Linked DNA regions of Macaca mulatta. The protein of the gene in region 3 interacts with the protein of the main gene of each other region in a pairwise test. Links are inferred from orthologs where the notes say so. Each region holds a gene or a part of one and is shown on either strand. Other genes may lie near its edges.

The links.
Region 1: the proteins of STAT3 (region 3) and BMX interact in binary tests that used the Homo sapiens proteins (3 or more experiments, as listed by UniProt). The link is inferred for Macaca mulatta from reciprocal best matches to the Homo sapiens genes STAT3 and BMX.
Region 2: the proteins of STAT3 (region 3) and RPA2 interact in a two-hybrid assay, tested with the Homo sapiens proteins (2 studies listed by BioGRID and IntAct, with this or other methods). The link is inferred for Macaca mulatta from reciprocal best matches to the Homo sapiens genes STAT3 and RPA2.

Annotation. Positions count from the first base shown.
Region 1 is NC_133426.1:15,175,060-15,180,644, forward strand, and holds part of BMX (cytoplasmic tyrosine-protein kinase BMX), read left to right. Parts: intron 1-1,243; exon of another isoform or gene 1,244-1,360; intron 1,361-2,297; coding exon 2,298-2,444; intron 2,445-3,281; coding exon 3,282-3,386; intron 3,387-5,389; coding exon 5,390-5,471; intron 5,472-5,585. UniProt on the Homo sapiens protein: Non-receptor tyrosine kinase that plays central but diverse modulatory roles in various signaling processes involved in the regulation of actin reorganization, cell migration, cell proliferation and survival, cell adhesion, and apoptosis.
Region 2 is NC_133406.1:213,041,725-213,046,289, reverse strand, and holds part of RPA2 (replication protein A 32 kDa subunit), read right to left. Parts: intron 4,134-4,565; coding exon 4,017-4,133; coding exon of another isoform or gene 4,013-4,016; intron 1,450-4,012; coding exon 1,342-1,449; intron 1,159-1,341; coding exon 1,064-1,158; intron 1-1,063. UniProt on the Homo sapiens protein: As part of the heterotrimeric replication protein A complex (RPA/RP-A), binds and stabilizes single-stranded DNA intermediates that form during DNA replication or upon DNA stress.
Region 3 is NC_133421.1:66,738,440-66,744,533, forward strand, and holds the start of STAT3 (signal transducer and activator of transcription 3), read right to left. Parts: upstream 3,945-6,094; 5' UTR 3,778-3,944; exon of another isoform or gene 1,002-3,777; intron 1-1,001. UniProt on the Homo sapiens protein: Signal transducer and transcription activator that mediates cellular responses to interleukins, KITLG/SCF, LEP and other growth factors. Once activated, recruits coactivators, such as NCOA1 or MED1, to the promoter region of the target gene.

The DNA.
Region 1 (5,585 bases), on a different chromosome or scaffold from region 3:
TGTCTGCTAATTTGTTAGAAACATTTTCTAGGGACAGGGTCTCACTATGTTTCCCAGGCTGGTCTCAAACTCCTGACCTCAAGCAATCCTCCCTCCTCAGCCTCCTAATGTGCAATGTGCTGGGATTACAGGCATGAGACATTGTGCCCTGCCTAGGTGTGAAAGTTCTATAGACAGAAAAATATGTATATCAGCACGTAGTACTGGGAAAGACTGAATAGCTCCTTGGACATTGGGATTTTTACATTTTTAAAACAGTGTTGTTAATGTCACAAATTGATTCAGCATCTAAAAAAATTAAAAAGTAAATTTTCTATTCAACTAATCAGATCCATTTAATTAGCACTCTGCTTTGAGGAATGATATTTCAGCTGTGGATATAAAAAATTGGCAAGAGTTTTCACAGCTTTCTCCTTCTGCCTCATTAGTAAAATATAGAAATATAAAAGGCAAAAGTACCCTACGACTATATGCAGTGTGATATTGCCTCCCCAAAGGAGGCTTTCACTCAAAAAAAGTAGACCCTCATGGTTTCTATAAGTCTCCGAACAAATTCTCTTCTGGCCACAGACTTTGGGTGTAGAAAATAAACTTACCGGGGCAGGTGGATATGTAGAGTTCACAATGGAAGCAGAGATAAAAGGAAGGCATGCTACCTACCTCCATAGGCTCTACTATACCCTGATCTCTGCCCTGTCTTTGATCACTGGACAAAGAAACCAGTGACCATTGCAAATAGCACCCATTGTACTCAGAAGAAACCCATTCTACTTTTGTGAAAGAATTATCCTTTTTAAATAGCTAAAAAAATATCCCAAGCAAAAAGTAACCAAGACTTTATTATATTGAATGGATAAGGTTTCCACTACTTCTGTCTAAAAATCAAATAATGCCCTTGGAGGACAGTTTAGGAATTAATAAATAATCTTTTGTTCTATGTAGTAAATAATAAAAGCTGGTTTTCTTAATTCCACTTTGAGAGTTGTGTGGTCTATGTTAGGAGGAAAGCAGGCTGGAGTCAACCATGGTTTATTCAATGCCAGGCTGTATTTCTTAGTCTCCCTTTCATTTCACTCTTCGCCATAGTGGGTCCATCATACTCCCAGGCCAGTGAGAAGTGCCCTCTAGTGACTGGATGGGTTCACTTGGCACCCGCCTCCATGCAGACAGAGCAATGCCTGTGTGGGTGCTTCCTGATCAAGACTGATAAGTGGAATGCAAATATCTTCTTTTGAATGCATGACCCTGGCATAGCCAGAGGGAATATGAGTGATGGTGCCTCAAAGCAGTAACTTTCTGCTTAGAGCTTGAGAGTTAAAGGTAAGGACCACACGTATACTTTGGCTCTAGCGAGTCTAAGGTGAGTAAAGCCTTCAGATTATCAGTAAAGAAAGATCTTAACTATTGGGCATGTGAATTCAAATAACGATGCAATTTCGCAAAGCAAAGAAGAACATAAGGAAGTTTGTCTCTCTGGTCTACTGCTCAACATTGCTACTTTTCATGATCAGACCTGATATGAGACTGAGGGATGAAGTAACTGTCTTAGTAGAAGTAGAAAATGAATGCATTTATTTTTCAGAAATAGCTTAAGTTTTAATGTTTTACATAATTTTGGAATAAAAAGGAAGGGTCTTTTTACTTTGTAAATGTACTCATTTTTTTCAGTTCTTTTAAATCTCTTTTGATAGCATCTGTTATTGCGCCCTCATACATTTTCCTCATTTTATCTTATCTTAGGCATTCACTTTGATTTTAAATTCTCATAGATATTGAAAATTATACCTGTGTAATTTATGTTAAATATCTGGTCATGATCAGGGGCTGCAGGTGTTATTTACAATAATGTCAGTGTCTCATAGTGGTTTGGGTAATTTGGTCAAATTACTGGCCATTACTTCATAAATTGTGAGCTGTCTGGAGTTAAATTTTTTAAAGTTTTATTATATCCAATTCAATTCAACCAACACGTATAGAATGTTTAAAGAGTAAGGAGCATTTTGATAAGGTGGTCTGGAGAATGAGGCAAAGATGATGAATTTATTATCCACAGTGGGAGGAGTCAAATATATAAAGTGTTTTTTAAAAATCAGCATATTTATAAAATCCGAAGCAAAGGCAGCAGAAAAACTGTAGCTATTGTGTAATTTATTCTATAATCCTAAGTCAGTCTCATTTTTTAAAAATTAGCATTTATATTATCCCTTAATAGGAAATAGTTGAGGAAAAGATATGAAGGTTAAAGAGAACTTACCTAGATGCTGCAAATACTCATTTTAATTATTTATTTTGTTTAGGATGATAATATGGATACAAAATCTATTCTAGAAGAACTTCTTCTCAAAAGGTCACAGCAAAAGAAGAAAATGTCACCAAATAATTACAAAGAACGGCTTTTTGTTTTGACCAAAACAAACCTTTCCTACTATGAATATGACAAAATGGTGAGACATCATGTGTTCCATTGTTTTTATACTATTTATTACTTTTCCTAAGTCTCCACAACGTACTTGATCATAACGAAAGAATATCAGGTTTCTTAGCGTACACAGTGAAGATCCACTTCTATCCACTTATCACATGACCTTTTCTTAATGAAAGTATAATGAATTCAAGATAAAGGATTTTAAAACATTAGTTAACTTTACTAAGGCAAATTATAACTTTAGAACAGTGGTTCTCAACTGAGGGCATTTTTGCTCCCCAGGTGACACTGGGAAAAGACTGGAGATATTTTGGGTTGTTCCAGCTGGGGGATAGGAACAGTAAGTGTTAAAGGCATCTAGCGAGTAGAGGCCAAGAATGCAGCTAACCATCCTGCAGTGCACAGGACAGTCCTCACAACAAATAATTACCCAGCCTTAAATGGCAATAGTGCCTTAAAACAATGCTAGAAATAAGACTATTCCTGGACAGTTGAGAATTCTACTATAGTAAAAATACTGAAATACTGTCATAAGGTTGAACCAAAATGAAGATGCTTTGCAGAAGTTAAATCTTGATTTTCCTGAGTATATTAACCACATGGTAGGTGATTTGAAACACATTTCAAGATAATCAAACAAGATTATTAACCACTGGAATGTATGTGTTTGTGTCCAGACTCAAGGAATAGATTCTGTTGTCATTGGATTTTGACTATTACGGGATAATGGGAAGTGACTCTCCATTGCCCACCCCCTACCCCAATCTCCCTCTCAAGCATGACTTGAGCTTTATGCTTTTCCTTGTGCACCATGATGTATTGCATGAGGTATCTTACATTTTGTTTTTTAATTCAGAAAAGGGGCAGCAGAAAAGGATCCATCGAAATTAAGAAAATCAGATGTGTGGAGAAAGTAAATCTCGAGGAGCAGACGCCTGTGGAGAGACAGTACCCATTTCAGGTAAAGGGAAGAACAACATTACATTGGGTGGATAGTTCTTCCTTTAATTTTTCTATTGTAAACTCAATATATCCAGGGAAAATAAGGATATTTCAAAATAATCTATTCAGACAATAACAAGGCTTGGAATATTCCCACATGGGAGTTGGGCATTTTGCTAAAATTCTGTCCACAATCTGCCTTCTCTGGAGGGAAGGGAAGCAAGATAGGAGTGTAAGTCGCAGTGACCTGACCTGCCTCAGGTCTGATGATCTCTTTTAACACACATTGCTGAGTATCTCTGATGTGGTACACAGTAGTAGGCATACTATGGGGAACGAAACACTGCTCCTACCCCAAGGCACTGACAGGGAAGTGGCAAAATAAACTAATACACAGACCATTACAAAGCAGTGAGGGTGCGTGTTCAGGTGGAGGTCAGCAGAACGCATCCGTGGAGTCCCAGGATGTGGAAGCTTCATTCCTCGCTCCAAGAGGCTAGAGAGATATTCTATTGGAGGTGACACTCAAGTTGGGAAGGACAAGTAAAATTTAGCCCAGCAAATATGAGAAGGACAGTGGGACAAAAGAAGCAGCAGGTGTCAAGGTGTCAAGGCACTGATGAAATAGTATGATATGTTTAGAGAGCACTAAGTAGTCCCTATGAATAGAAAAGCCCATGCGACAGTGAAAGAGATGAGCCTGGAGAGGTGACCATGCTAAGGAGTTTTCATTTTATCCTGAAGTATTTTAAACAATGGCATGGTATGGAGTGTATGCTGACAGTACCTTTTGGAAGTGGCCTAATCTAAGTCATGCCCAACTTTTCTTATATCATAAAAAGTTACATTTCTGATCTAAAGGTAGATGGATTGTCTTTCAGATGGCCTGACTACCCTGTGCTAGTATTAGGAACCTGTGGCCAAAAATGAAATACAATAATCCAGTTGATTAACAACCCATACTTCCCATTTGGAAAAAATATTACCAGGCCAGGCACAGTGGCTCATGACTGTAATCCCAGCACTTTGGGAGGCCAAAGAGGGAGGATCACTTGAGGCTGGGAGTTCAAGACCAGCCTGGGCAACATAGTGAGAACTCATCTCTACATAAGCATTTTTTTCACGAAAAAATTACCCAATGGGGGGAAACCAGGGGAAGTCATGCTCATGGAAGATGCTGCAAACTCACCTCACAGATGCACAGGGTGCTCAAAAGATCACAGGCTTTGGAGCCCCCACAGAGTTCCTAGTCCCACCACTTATACTTGTGCAACCATAAACACATACTCAACTTCCATTTCTCATAGAGTTGAAATAAGATTAAAATATTGAAGTAGCTAGGAAAGAGCCCAGCAACTAGTAAGTGTTTAACAAATGTGTATATTTACCAACCAGAGTTGAATAAACTAGAGAAAGATCTGGAGAAGATATTGTAACCTTCAAATGTTCAAACATTTGTCTTAAGAAATAGAAATATATTCTGGGGATTCCTGGGGTGCCACATGATTAAACAGATGGAAGTAACAGGGAGACATATTTTTACTCAAAGTAAGTGTGAACTGTATAATGATCAGAATATATGCATATTGGCAGAGATGACATAGTAAAGAACATTCCATCCTTGAAGGTATTTTTAAAGATAGAGCAGTTAAACATTTTCCAGTGGGCTGTAAGGAAATCATGCACTGGGTAGGCAAATGGACCAGAACAATCCTAAGACACGTGTAATGTCTAACATATTAATGTCCATAGTCCGGGGCATCCGTGATGAGAACTCAGTGTTCACTACTACTATTGGGTGCATCATCGCTGTAATTTTCCAAAGTATAGGAGTGTCTGGGATAAAACAAACTGATAGCTGGAGGATTTTTTTAAGCAGATTTTTTTTCCATCTAATTCCAGAGCTGATGTATACTATATAAGCAAACTCAAGGTTTCTTTTGGATGACAAATAATTTGCAGGTGCACCAAAGTGAACTAAGTGCAATTATATATAAACACACCAAATATTTTCCTTTCCAGATTGTCTATAAAGATGGGCTTCTCTATGTCTATGCATCAAATGAAGAGAGCCGAAGTCAGTGGTTGAAAGCATTACAAAAAGGTAATTCAAAAAAAGAAATGTTGAAAGAGAAAGGTCAAAAAAATGTCATAAAAGAGAGTCGTTTTTTGAGGCTTGGTGGAGGAAAGATACGGCAGTAAAAAGACTCAATGCCAA
Region 2 (4,565 bases), on a different chromosome or scaffold from region 3:
CTGATTTATAGTAACAAATAACTATCACAAGCACCATCACCATAAGTCAGTGTGTTTGACTGGTTTACTACACTGGAATCAGGAGGCTGCTTGTCTAAGATGGAATCAGGATAAGGGTGTTGGAAGGACTGGTTGTTTAATAAGGTCCAGATAGTCTAATACACTCATGTCCACAATGGGGACAGTAACAGCAACAGGACTGTACACCTGAGGACCAGGAGCTAAGGACTTCCCTCCTCCAGTCTAAATCCCATAAGGAAATCAGGTCAACTTTTTGCTCAGAATTATTATATATCCCTTACATATAATGGTCCTTAGTGTCTGCTGAATGAAAAAATTTGCTGAATAAGTGATGTGATGGGTAGCACCATTTTGGTGCATAGTCTTTTTCCTGTTTTTCCATAGCTGAACAATTTCCATTCTGCCACCAGGGTTGTAGTTAAGTTGTTTTTGTGTGACAGTCTCATTCTGTCATTCAGGATGGAGTGCAGTGGCACAATGATGGCTCACTGCAGCCTCGACTTTCTGGGCTCAAGTGATCCTCCCACCTCAGCCTCCTGGGTAGCTGGGACTACAGGCATGCGCCACTGTGCCCGGCTAATTTGTTTTTATTGTTTTTGTAGAGACAAGGTTTTGCCACGTTGCCCAGGCTGGTCTTGAACTCCTGAGTTCAAGCAATCTGCCCATCTCAGCCTCCCAAAGTGCTGGAACTATAGGCATGAGCTAGTGCCTGGCGAACTTTTACTTTTTTTTGAGATGGAATCTCACTCTGTCACCCAGGCTGGAGCGCAGCAGTGCGATCATTGAGGCCACCACGCCTGGCTAATTTTTGTATTTTTAGTAGAGACAGGGTTTTCACCATGTTGGCCAGGCTGGTCTCAAACTGCTGACTTCAGGTGATCCACCCGCCTCGGCCTCCCAAAGTGCTGAGATTACGGGCGTGAGCTACCATGCCCGGCCGCCAAGTTTTACTTTTAAAACTCACTTCTCACTATCAGGAAACCCTTGTGAGGTGAAACAGGTACAATTCCAGAGCCTAAGCTCATGAAAATCAAATACTTACTTGATTGAAGATACAGACATGTGTTTCAGCTGGTTCTTGAGATCCTGAAAGTTCAACCCTTCAGGTCTTGGACAAGCCTTAATCAAATTCAACACCTGAAGATTCAAATCAGAAAGATTTTCGCAATTATTTTGGATCAGCCACCCCTTTGCAAACCTGAGTCCCTTTATAGGAAAGAAATAAACCAGGTATTCAAACAATCTTAGCTCATCAAGGAAATAACAAAATTTAAGACTGTCTGTGTTTTGTATTTCTGAAGCCACTCTGGTGGAGTTTACCTGGTTTTGGGCCACAGTGAGGCCATTTGCTGGCAGGAAGCTATTCCCACCGAAGTTCCCTGCTTCACTCATTCCTGGATTGCTGATAGGTGCTCTCCCTGCTGAGGGCTGAATTAAGAAATAAGTTAACAATATTAGAAAATCCATCAAGTTAAACAGTCTTTACAACTTCAAATAGCTCGTTAAGCAGCTTACAAAAAACAATTTATAAACAGTTTCCCAGTAACACTGCTTACATTGGAATGGACAGCTATTATCTAAAGAGTATTTCATAGGAAGATAAACTCCCCGAAGCACATAAATATCAAAAAGAGACAGATCCTCTTGGCTCCTTTTGTTTCTGATGTGAGAGGAACCAGAGAAGAGTAGCAGTGAGAAGAAAATTACCCAGAGTCTGCTATTTTGGTATCCATGTGGCCCAATCACTCAAGCATTCACTGAGTGTCTATAGGCATGAAGCACCACAGGCAGAGAAAAGGAGACACAGTCCCTATCGTCCTCTCTCTTTCCTTTTTTTAATACAAATTCTTAAAATGCTCTGCAATCACTATTTTCATTTCCTTTCTCCCCAGTCACTCCTCAGCCCACCATATTTGGGTTCTCCCCAAGTACACCTCTGAAACTGTTTTCACCAAAGTCACCAAAGACTCTTCAACCAATTATCAAAGTCTCTTTCAGTCCTCCTAATACTTGACCTCTCAGAAGCAGACACTGCTGACCACACTCCTCTTGAAATGTGTTCCTCCCTGGGCTTCTTGACACCACATTCTTCTGCTTCTTCATCTGACTCTCAAACTGAACCTTCTCAGTATCCCTCATTAGCCTCTTCTATCTGTCTCCCAAAAGGCTGACAGAGTCCCCAGGATTTCATCCCAGACTGCCTCCTAGGCCACAAATCCTCACTGCCAGCCGGATTGCTAACTGGACGCCAACACGGTGAAACCCCGTCTCTACTAAAACTACAAAAATTAGCTGGGTGTGGTAGTGCGCACCTGTAATCCCAGATACTGGGGAGGCTGAGACAGGAGAATCGCTTGAACCCGAGAAGCGGAGGCAGCAGTGAGCTGAGATCACGTCATTGCACTCCAGCCTGGGTGACAGAATGAGACTGTCTCAAAAAAAAAAAAAAAAAAAAAGGCTGGGCGCAGTGATGAGTCACTTTGGGAGGCTGAGGCGGGCAGATCACGAGGTCAGGAGATTGAGATCATCCTGGCTAACACGGTGAAACCCCTTCTCTACTAAAAATACAAAAATTAGCCAAGCACGGTGGTGGACGCCTGTGGTCCCAGCTACTCGGGAGGTTGAGGCAGGAGAATGGCATGAACCCGGGAGGTGGAGCTTGCAGTGAGCTGAGATTGCGCTACTGCACTCCAGCCTGGGCGAAAGAGTGAGACTCCATCTCAAAAAAAACAAAAACAAAAACAAAAAAACCGCCAAATAAACAAAATTTTAAAAATTTGAATAAAGGCAATCCTTACTATGGCCTCCAAAGCCCCACATAATCTGGGCCCTGCCTCCTTGTCTACAACCCTCTCCCTCTCCCGTCATTTGCTTCACTCCAGACTCTGGCCTTGCTGGTTTCAGAGATGTCACGCTTACTCCACACTCCTGCTTCTTGCACTTCCTAGTCCCTCTGGTTTGGAATGTTCTTCCCCATCTAAAATTGTACCATTCTTGGTTCCCTCCATCACCCTCTTCTCCTATTTTGCTTTATTTACTTCAGAGCACCTATATAACTACCTAAAATTATATATATTTTTTGTTTATTGCTTCTTTCTCCCAAGAATATAAGTATATCGTGTTCACTGCTAAACTCGAATGGGGACTAGAATGATTGGGACTATCAAATCAAAGTAGGCGCAATAAATATTTTTCTTTTTCTTTCTTTATTTTTTTTGAGACAAAGTTGCTCTGTTGCCTAGGCTGCAGTGAGTAGCACAATCACAGCTCAATGCAGCCTTGACCTCCTGGGCTTAAGTGATCTCCCAAACTCAGCCTCCCAAGTAGCCCATCGAATTCTTTAATTTTTTTTCTAGAGACAGGGTCTCCCTATGTTACCCAGGGTGGTGTCTCGAACTGGGCTCAAGTGATGCCCCCATACCATCCTCCCAAAGTGCTAGGATTTCAGGCCATGAACCACCACACCTGGCCCTGAGGGCTTTCTAATACTAGAGTCAACAAACCTTTTGTGTGGTCCTAGATGGACTTGCCAAAGTCAATTCACACAATGGAAAATACTATGGAGAAATTTCAATACGAATCAATAAATATAATTTCAGGGAAAAAATATAATAGTACATAATTTTTCCTACTTAGCCAGTAAGTTGGAAGGAAGACAGTAAAATGCTGTCCTGAAGGGGGCTACTCTCTGAATATGCACTGACAATCCTTGGAGCTAAGAGCTCAGCCTATAATTACATGTCTACACCTAAGGGTTGTCACAGGCCCCAGCTGTCCAGGCCAGTGTCAGAGGAACTCTTAATTCTGAGAGAAACATCAGTGTTTCATCTGAAATAAAATACGGTGACAAAGCTAATGGAGAAAGTGTTCTGAGGACTTAGTGATATCTTTCTCTGGCTAGGCCTTCAAAATGTCAAGGAAATCAAAGCTGGAACACAAAAGTAACCTGTGTTCTTCCAGGGAAGAGAAAAAGCTAGGAAAGTGAGGCTACTCACCTGGCTGTTGGCTTTGCTTAGTACCATGTGTGCATTGATCACTTCCAGAATATGTGTGGTGAACTCATTCATATCCTCCAGGGGCATGATTTTAAAGGCTACCAGGCTCTTTTTGTTCTATCAAAATGAAGAAAAAAATGTGAATAAAATATGAACATACATTAATTTCAGGTCAACAATGTGGCTCTTTTCTTGGTTATAATATTAATATTTTGCCAATATGAGAGAAATGTTATATACTCTCAGAAGTAATCCAAACATGGTCAAACATGAGAAAAACACTAAAATTAATAGCTAAGGGACATTAATAATTTTCCCAAGGTTGCATAACGGAGCAAAATCTAGACTCCTGACTCCGAATCTAGTGTTCTCCTTTCTCCAACTAATGAACGCCACAGATGGCAATTGTAGGAGATTCTGTTCTTTCTTTACTATTCTGTCAATTTCATGTTAAGGTAAAAAAAAAAAAGAAAGAAGAGTTATTTCCTTTTGAAGAAGAGAGTAAGAAATAACTTCCCATTAAACAGGGGGACTTAAGTATTTTAACTA
Region 3 (6,094 bases):
TCACTTCTCCCCTACTTACTCTGCTAGTCTACTGGGCTACCAGGAATTTTTTTTTTTTTTTTTTTTTTTTTTTGGAGCTAGGGTCTTACTCTGTAGCCCAGGCTAGAGTGTGGCAGCAGGATCACAGCTCACTGCAGCCTCAACCACCCGGGCTCGGGTGATCCTCCCACCTTAGTCTCACCAGTAGCTGGGACTACAGGCCCACGCCACCAGGCCTGGCTTATTTTTTTAATTTTTAGTGGAGAGGAGGTTTCACCATGTTGCCCAAGCTGGTCTCAAACTCCTGGGCTCAAGCAATCCTCCTGCCTCAGCCTCCCAAAGTGCTGGGATTACAGGCATAAACCACCACAAATTATTTACACCTATCAAATTCCACCCATTATTTGGGACCCAGTTGAAATCACTCCTTTGGCAAAAAGACTTTCTAGACAACTCCAGGCCTCATAACCTCTCCTTTCTCTGAAGACCTGCAGCATTCAGCAGTAGCACTGTCCAATAGAACATGCTATGATAACAGAAATGTTCTACATCTGTACTGTATATTCTTTTATGTAGAACAGCTACCTTGTTAGCGCAACAGTAAAGTCTCACCATCTCTTTGCTGACAAGATGTTACACTGGATGGTTAAAACATTTATCAGCTCCCCGAGTAGATTGAAATTTCTGTGAACAAGATACAACTTATTCTTCATAGCAACTCTGACAACGTTGCAAAAGGTATATATTTGTTGGCCAGGCAAGGTGGCTCATGCCTGTAATCCCAGCACTTTGGGAGGCTGAGGTGGGCAGATCTCTTGAGGACAGAAGTTTGAGACCAGCCTAGTCAACATAGTGAAACCCCATCTCTATTAAAAATACAAAAAGTAAGCTAGCTGGGCGTAGTGGCGGGCACCTGTAATCCCAGCTATCCAGGAGGCTGAGGTGCAAGAATCACTTGAACCTGGGAGAAGGAGGTTACAGCGAGCCAAGATCATACCACTGCACTCCAGCCTGGGTGACAGAGTGCAACTCCAACTCAAAAAAAAAAAAAAAGTATATATTTATTGATTTGCACATCACCTAAGAAAACCATAAGCTAAAAAGGTGTCTGGAAAGTTGGTCACCACCTCTACGCCATCTCACATCTGAATGTCAAGAGACACGTAGAGGCAGGGTGGTTAAAGCAACTTTCTAGAGACAGAAATGACCACTGATCAAGCCACAATGCACTCTGGTTTAAATGACATTTAGGTCATGACTGTCCTTAATCTAAAACAAACCACGATTAGTATTTCTTTTCATTAGTAAATAGCTGAATTCTGATGGTAAATTATGCTGACCAAAAACAGTTCCTCACTTCCCAAGTTAGACATAGCAATTAGGTAGAAAAATAATCTAAGCAAGCTCCATTTGTATTTCTTTTTTCACGTGTTTATTGAATATTTACCTCCCATAAAGTCTTTCAGCCTGTTGGTGGTATTTTACTGTTCAGATATATGTTAGAATTTCACTGATACTGGGTGCGGTGGCTCACACCTGTAATCCTAGCACTTCGGGAGACAGAGGCGGGCGGCTCACGAGGTCAGGAGTTCAAGACCAGCCTAGCCAATATGGTAAAACCCTGGTCTCTACTAAAAATACAAAAATTAGCCGGGCGTGGTGGTGCGCAACTGTAGTCCCAGCTACTTGGGAGGCTGAGGCAGGAGAATCACTTGAACCCAGGAGGCAGAGGTTACAGTGAGCCAAGATTGCGCCACTGCACTCCAGCCTAGGCAACAGAGCAAGACTCCGTCTCAAAAAAAAAAAAAAAAAGAATTTCACTGATACTTTTCACAAAATATACAGAAGGCGGCACAAATTCCACCACTATGGCACTCTGCCGCCTTGGGCAAGTGTCTTGATCCTTTGGCCTCAATTTTCTTATCTACAATATTAGAGGAATTGTTATGTGAACTACCTACCTCACAAGTCCTTTGTGGGTCAATTCATAACTGTGCTGTGGGTATTTCTTTTTCTTTCCTTTCTTCCTCTTTTCCTTTCCTTTCTTTCTTAGAGACGGGTTCTCATTATGTTGCCTAGACTAGACTCTAGACCCAATTCCTGGCCTCTCACCATGTTGCCCAGACCAGACTCAACTCCTGGACTCAAGGAATCCTCCGGCCTCAGCTTTCAAGTAACTGGGATCAGAGGTGTGCACCACCATGCCTGGCACTGTGGATATTTTTAAGTGATTATTCTTCCCAAATGAACTACATAAAAAACAAAAGATTCATGAATTTACTAATGGTTCTTTGTGATGGATGTGCTAATACAGAGACTAAAATCAAGGCTCCAACCTCTAAAACATTTTTTTTTTTTAATTCCAGACTTGTTTCCCCATCCCACTGTGCAAACTGAACAAAAACTGGGCTAGCACTCCCGTCTGGAACATGTAATAAGGAAATAAATGTGCTGACTCAGAGAACACAGACATATTTAATATAAAATAAAATAGAAAACTGGCTGAATCAAGTCATAGCACAGTCTAAATCCACATATAAAAGATTGAGATGATTTTCTGCTTTGCTTTATTCAAGCCCAATGCTTTATCAGCACAGCCAGCCAAAAATTTACAACCCATGCACAGACTACGTAAACCTTTAGTTGCACATACAGTAAGACCAGCAGGTACACACTATACACATTTTTAACAAAAAACAATGACTAACCACTGATTTTGTCACCACACTTACAACGACCTGATATGGCACAGGGTGATGTGTATCAAACATGGAAATACCAACTTGGGCGACGGTTTGAATCTTGTTAACTTCAGTGCAACCACACCCCCCTAAATGCAGGTAAACTTAGCACACATGGTTTTGTCAAGGCCAGCCTGTCTTTGTTTCCCTCTCCTCTGCATTTACCCAAGATCTTGGCTCTGAGACACAGAACTCCCACTCTCGATTGGTTCATTCCGTCCTATGCAATTAAGCAACACCACAATCCAGTAAACGCAATGGCTCAATTATTTATCTTCTGGCCGACTTTACCAGGTATTTGGAAAAGAACATTGCCAAGAGATTTATTTCTCTCTCTAGAGCTGGCTTGACGGGTTGACGGGGATTTTGTCTTTTTTTCCCCTCTTTTTTACATGGCGGGGGCGTGAGGGGAGCATAGTTTAACCTAGAAAAAGATGGGAGGGAATTTAGAAAGAGTACCGGTCTGTCAATTTCCCTACAGGAAACTTGATTCTTATGCAATAAAGCCTACCCGCGACCAGCCAGCCCGTGAGGCTGCAGGGGACAGACACACCTATTCCTGCCTCCAGAAGGGCACAGCTGGCTCCTGAAGAAGCGGGAACAGGGCAAGCGGAGGAAGTGGCTCAGAGGGAGCCGCCGGCCAGGCGGGGAGGAGGCGCTTTCCGACCCCCACCCGCGCCGGTGATCCCCGCCGGCGTGACAGTCGCTCCGGCGGCCGGAACGTCCCCAGGGCTCCAGGGAGCAGGAAATCGGGGGACTGTCCCTCACTCCTGCCGCCGCAGCCGAGTGCGCCCTCGCCCCACGGTGCCCCCTCGGGCGCGTTCTCACTGTTTCTCCGAAGAACGAAACTTCCCTCCAGCGCCCCGAGTCCCTTCCGAGGCCCGCTCCTGTCATCCCGAAGAGTCTTCCCTCAGGGCGACCCTCCGCGTCTCCTCATCTCTCCCCGCCCCACTGCAGCGTCCATCACAAAATCCCCAAGGTCCCAGAGGCCCCCAACCGCGGCGGCGCCCCCAGGTCCCCAGGCCTCCCCGACGGCCCCACCCTGCACCCCCTTCACCTGTTTCTCCAGCAGAGGCCGAGAGGCCGGGGCTGCGCGTGCGCCGGGGGCGGGCGACGGGGCTCCCTCAGGCCGGAGGGCTTATCCGAGCCGAGGGGGAGAGACAGCGCCGAGCCGGGGTGCCTGTCCAGGATCCGGTTGGGGCTTGTTCCCTCGGCTGCTACGTCGGAACCCCCGGCTCCCCCTCCCGGTCTACGCCGCCGCAGCTCCGGAAACCGCTGAATTACAGCCCCTTCAGCCAATCCCCGCCCAGCCCCAGCCTGGCCGGGGCACGCCGTCATGCATAATTCATGAACGGCCATTTCGCTCGGCCACCCAGAGGTCCCAGTGCGTGTGCGGTACCGACAAAGCCCCGCCCACTGACCAATGAAGAGAGCAGCTAGGAGAAAGGGCGGAGCCAAGAGAAGACTGATACGCCCCTGTGCTGGCTGTTCCGACAGTTCGGTGCTCCTCCCTCCGCCACAGCGAGGGAAGAGCCGAGGACTTGGGCACAGAAGCCCGGGGGGAGGGAGGGAAGATGACCGGAATGTCCTGCTGAAAACTCAGCTGAGTTCCTGGCAGTGCGTGACGTCAAGGCACTTTAAATGCCCCTGATACAGCTCCCTCCTGTCCGCTCTCCCTTTTCCCGGCCCTTGGCACCACGTGGTGGCGAGATTGAGAGCCTCTTACCACGTGGGAATCAGCCAGTTAGACAGTCCCCAGGTATCTCCAGATCCTCTGGGGACCCAACACCTGAATTGGGTTCTGGGGACAACAAAAAGAACATGAGTGACTCCGCCTGCTTTGAACTTCAGTTTCTGCGTGAACAGGGACACACACACCCGGAAACATGACGTGGAAATAGAGTAAATACTAGAGTGCGTGGGGAGAAATAGTAGATTTAACCCCGTCCTCCGTTCCATCACTTCAAGCATCAAACTCCGAGCAGCTAGCCCATTGGCCGGTACAGGCGAATGCAGAAGACGGTGTATACGAAAGTTGATACGTGTAGGGCTTGACATTTTTATGCGTCTGAATTGAAATACATGAAATGTTCCGCCTTTTTCGTTTCCACCTTGCCTACTTGGTATGCAAGTTTTGCTGAATTGAAGCCAGTGGTTCATAGGAAATGTAGACATTTTGCCTTTCATAATAGAGGATGAATTTTGCATAATGGAGTGATTTCTGTGTATGTGCTGATACTATCAGGGTTTTTAATTTTTATTTTTTTAGGGTCTTTAAAAATATGTTATTAATATTTGTGTTTGTTTAATACGAACCGGTATAAAGACAAAAATCTATAAAGGACCCATTATCTCACTGCTCAGATAACCCCTGACATTTTTTTTTTCAATGAAACTAATACATGTTCCTGTTTAGAAAATGCAGACCGTTCAGAAAGGTAAAAAATTTTAAATGAAAATCTTTCCCTACCCCCATCATTCCTTCTCCCCAGGGATAGCTATTCTTATTAATTTGTAGTGAGAAAAATCAATGACTCTTAACCTTTGAAGGGAGTCACAGATCCTTCTGAGTGTTTGAAGGAGACTAGATTCTAGCCCCAGAAACAGCACAAGCTTTCACTCACATGGTTCTCCAGATACCTGAAACCCGTCTAACGTCTACAGATTCAGACCATTCATACCACCTCATATCCAACGAGGGACAGAGGCACCTACAGGGCAATTCATAGGGTCACTGGTGCTGGGAATTGAGAACCTCCTATTGCCCTCTGGTAGACACAGCCCAATGTGGAAATTGCTGTATTTAACCTGTAGAGTGTGTGTGTATTGATTAGACTGTTTATCTACACCACAGGACAGATATCCCTCATCTCCACCTATATTCTCTTGTAACTGCGCTATCCCATGCCATTAACTTCCTCCCTGATAACACAGGGTCTAGGACTTGTTTAGTGATTTACTGCTTACAAAGCACTTACACACCTTATACACTCCCTGCCTCGTTTCTTTCTCACAATCATGAGTAGCAGATAGGAGAGGCCATATTATCCGCTGATAGAAAACTAAAGCAAACATAATATGACATTTTCAAGATCACAGAGATATTCAGAAATATACCAGGTTTTGGGGCTTTATGTCCCATAGCTTTGTTCCATTCATTCAAACCCTGCCCTGACTTCTCAGGAGCTGGCCTCTGTTTCCCTCATTGGCCTCCCCACCAGTAACACATAAAATCTACCTCTGAGACTATCGGTTTGACCTGCAAAAATTCTCTTCAACCCAGACACTGGCCTTTCTCCATGTCCCGCCAAATTCCTCTTGGCTAAATGCTGCAGTTTCTGTCCCTTGGGCCTCTGCCTTAATCACCTGATAAT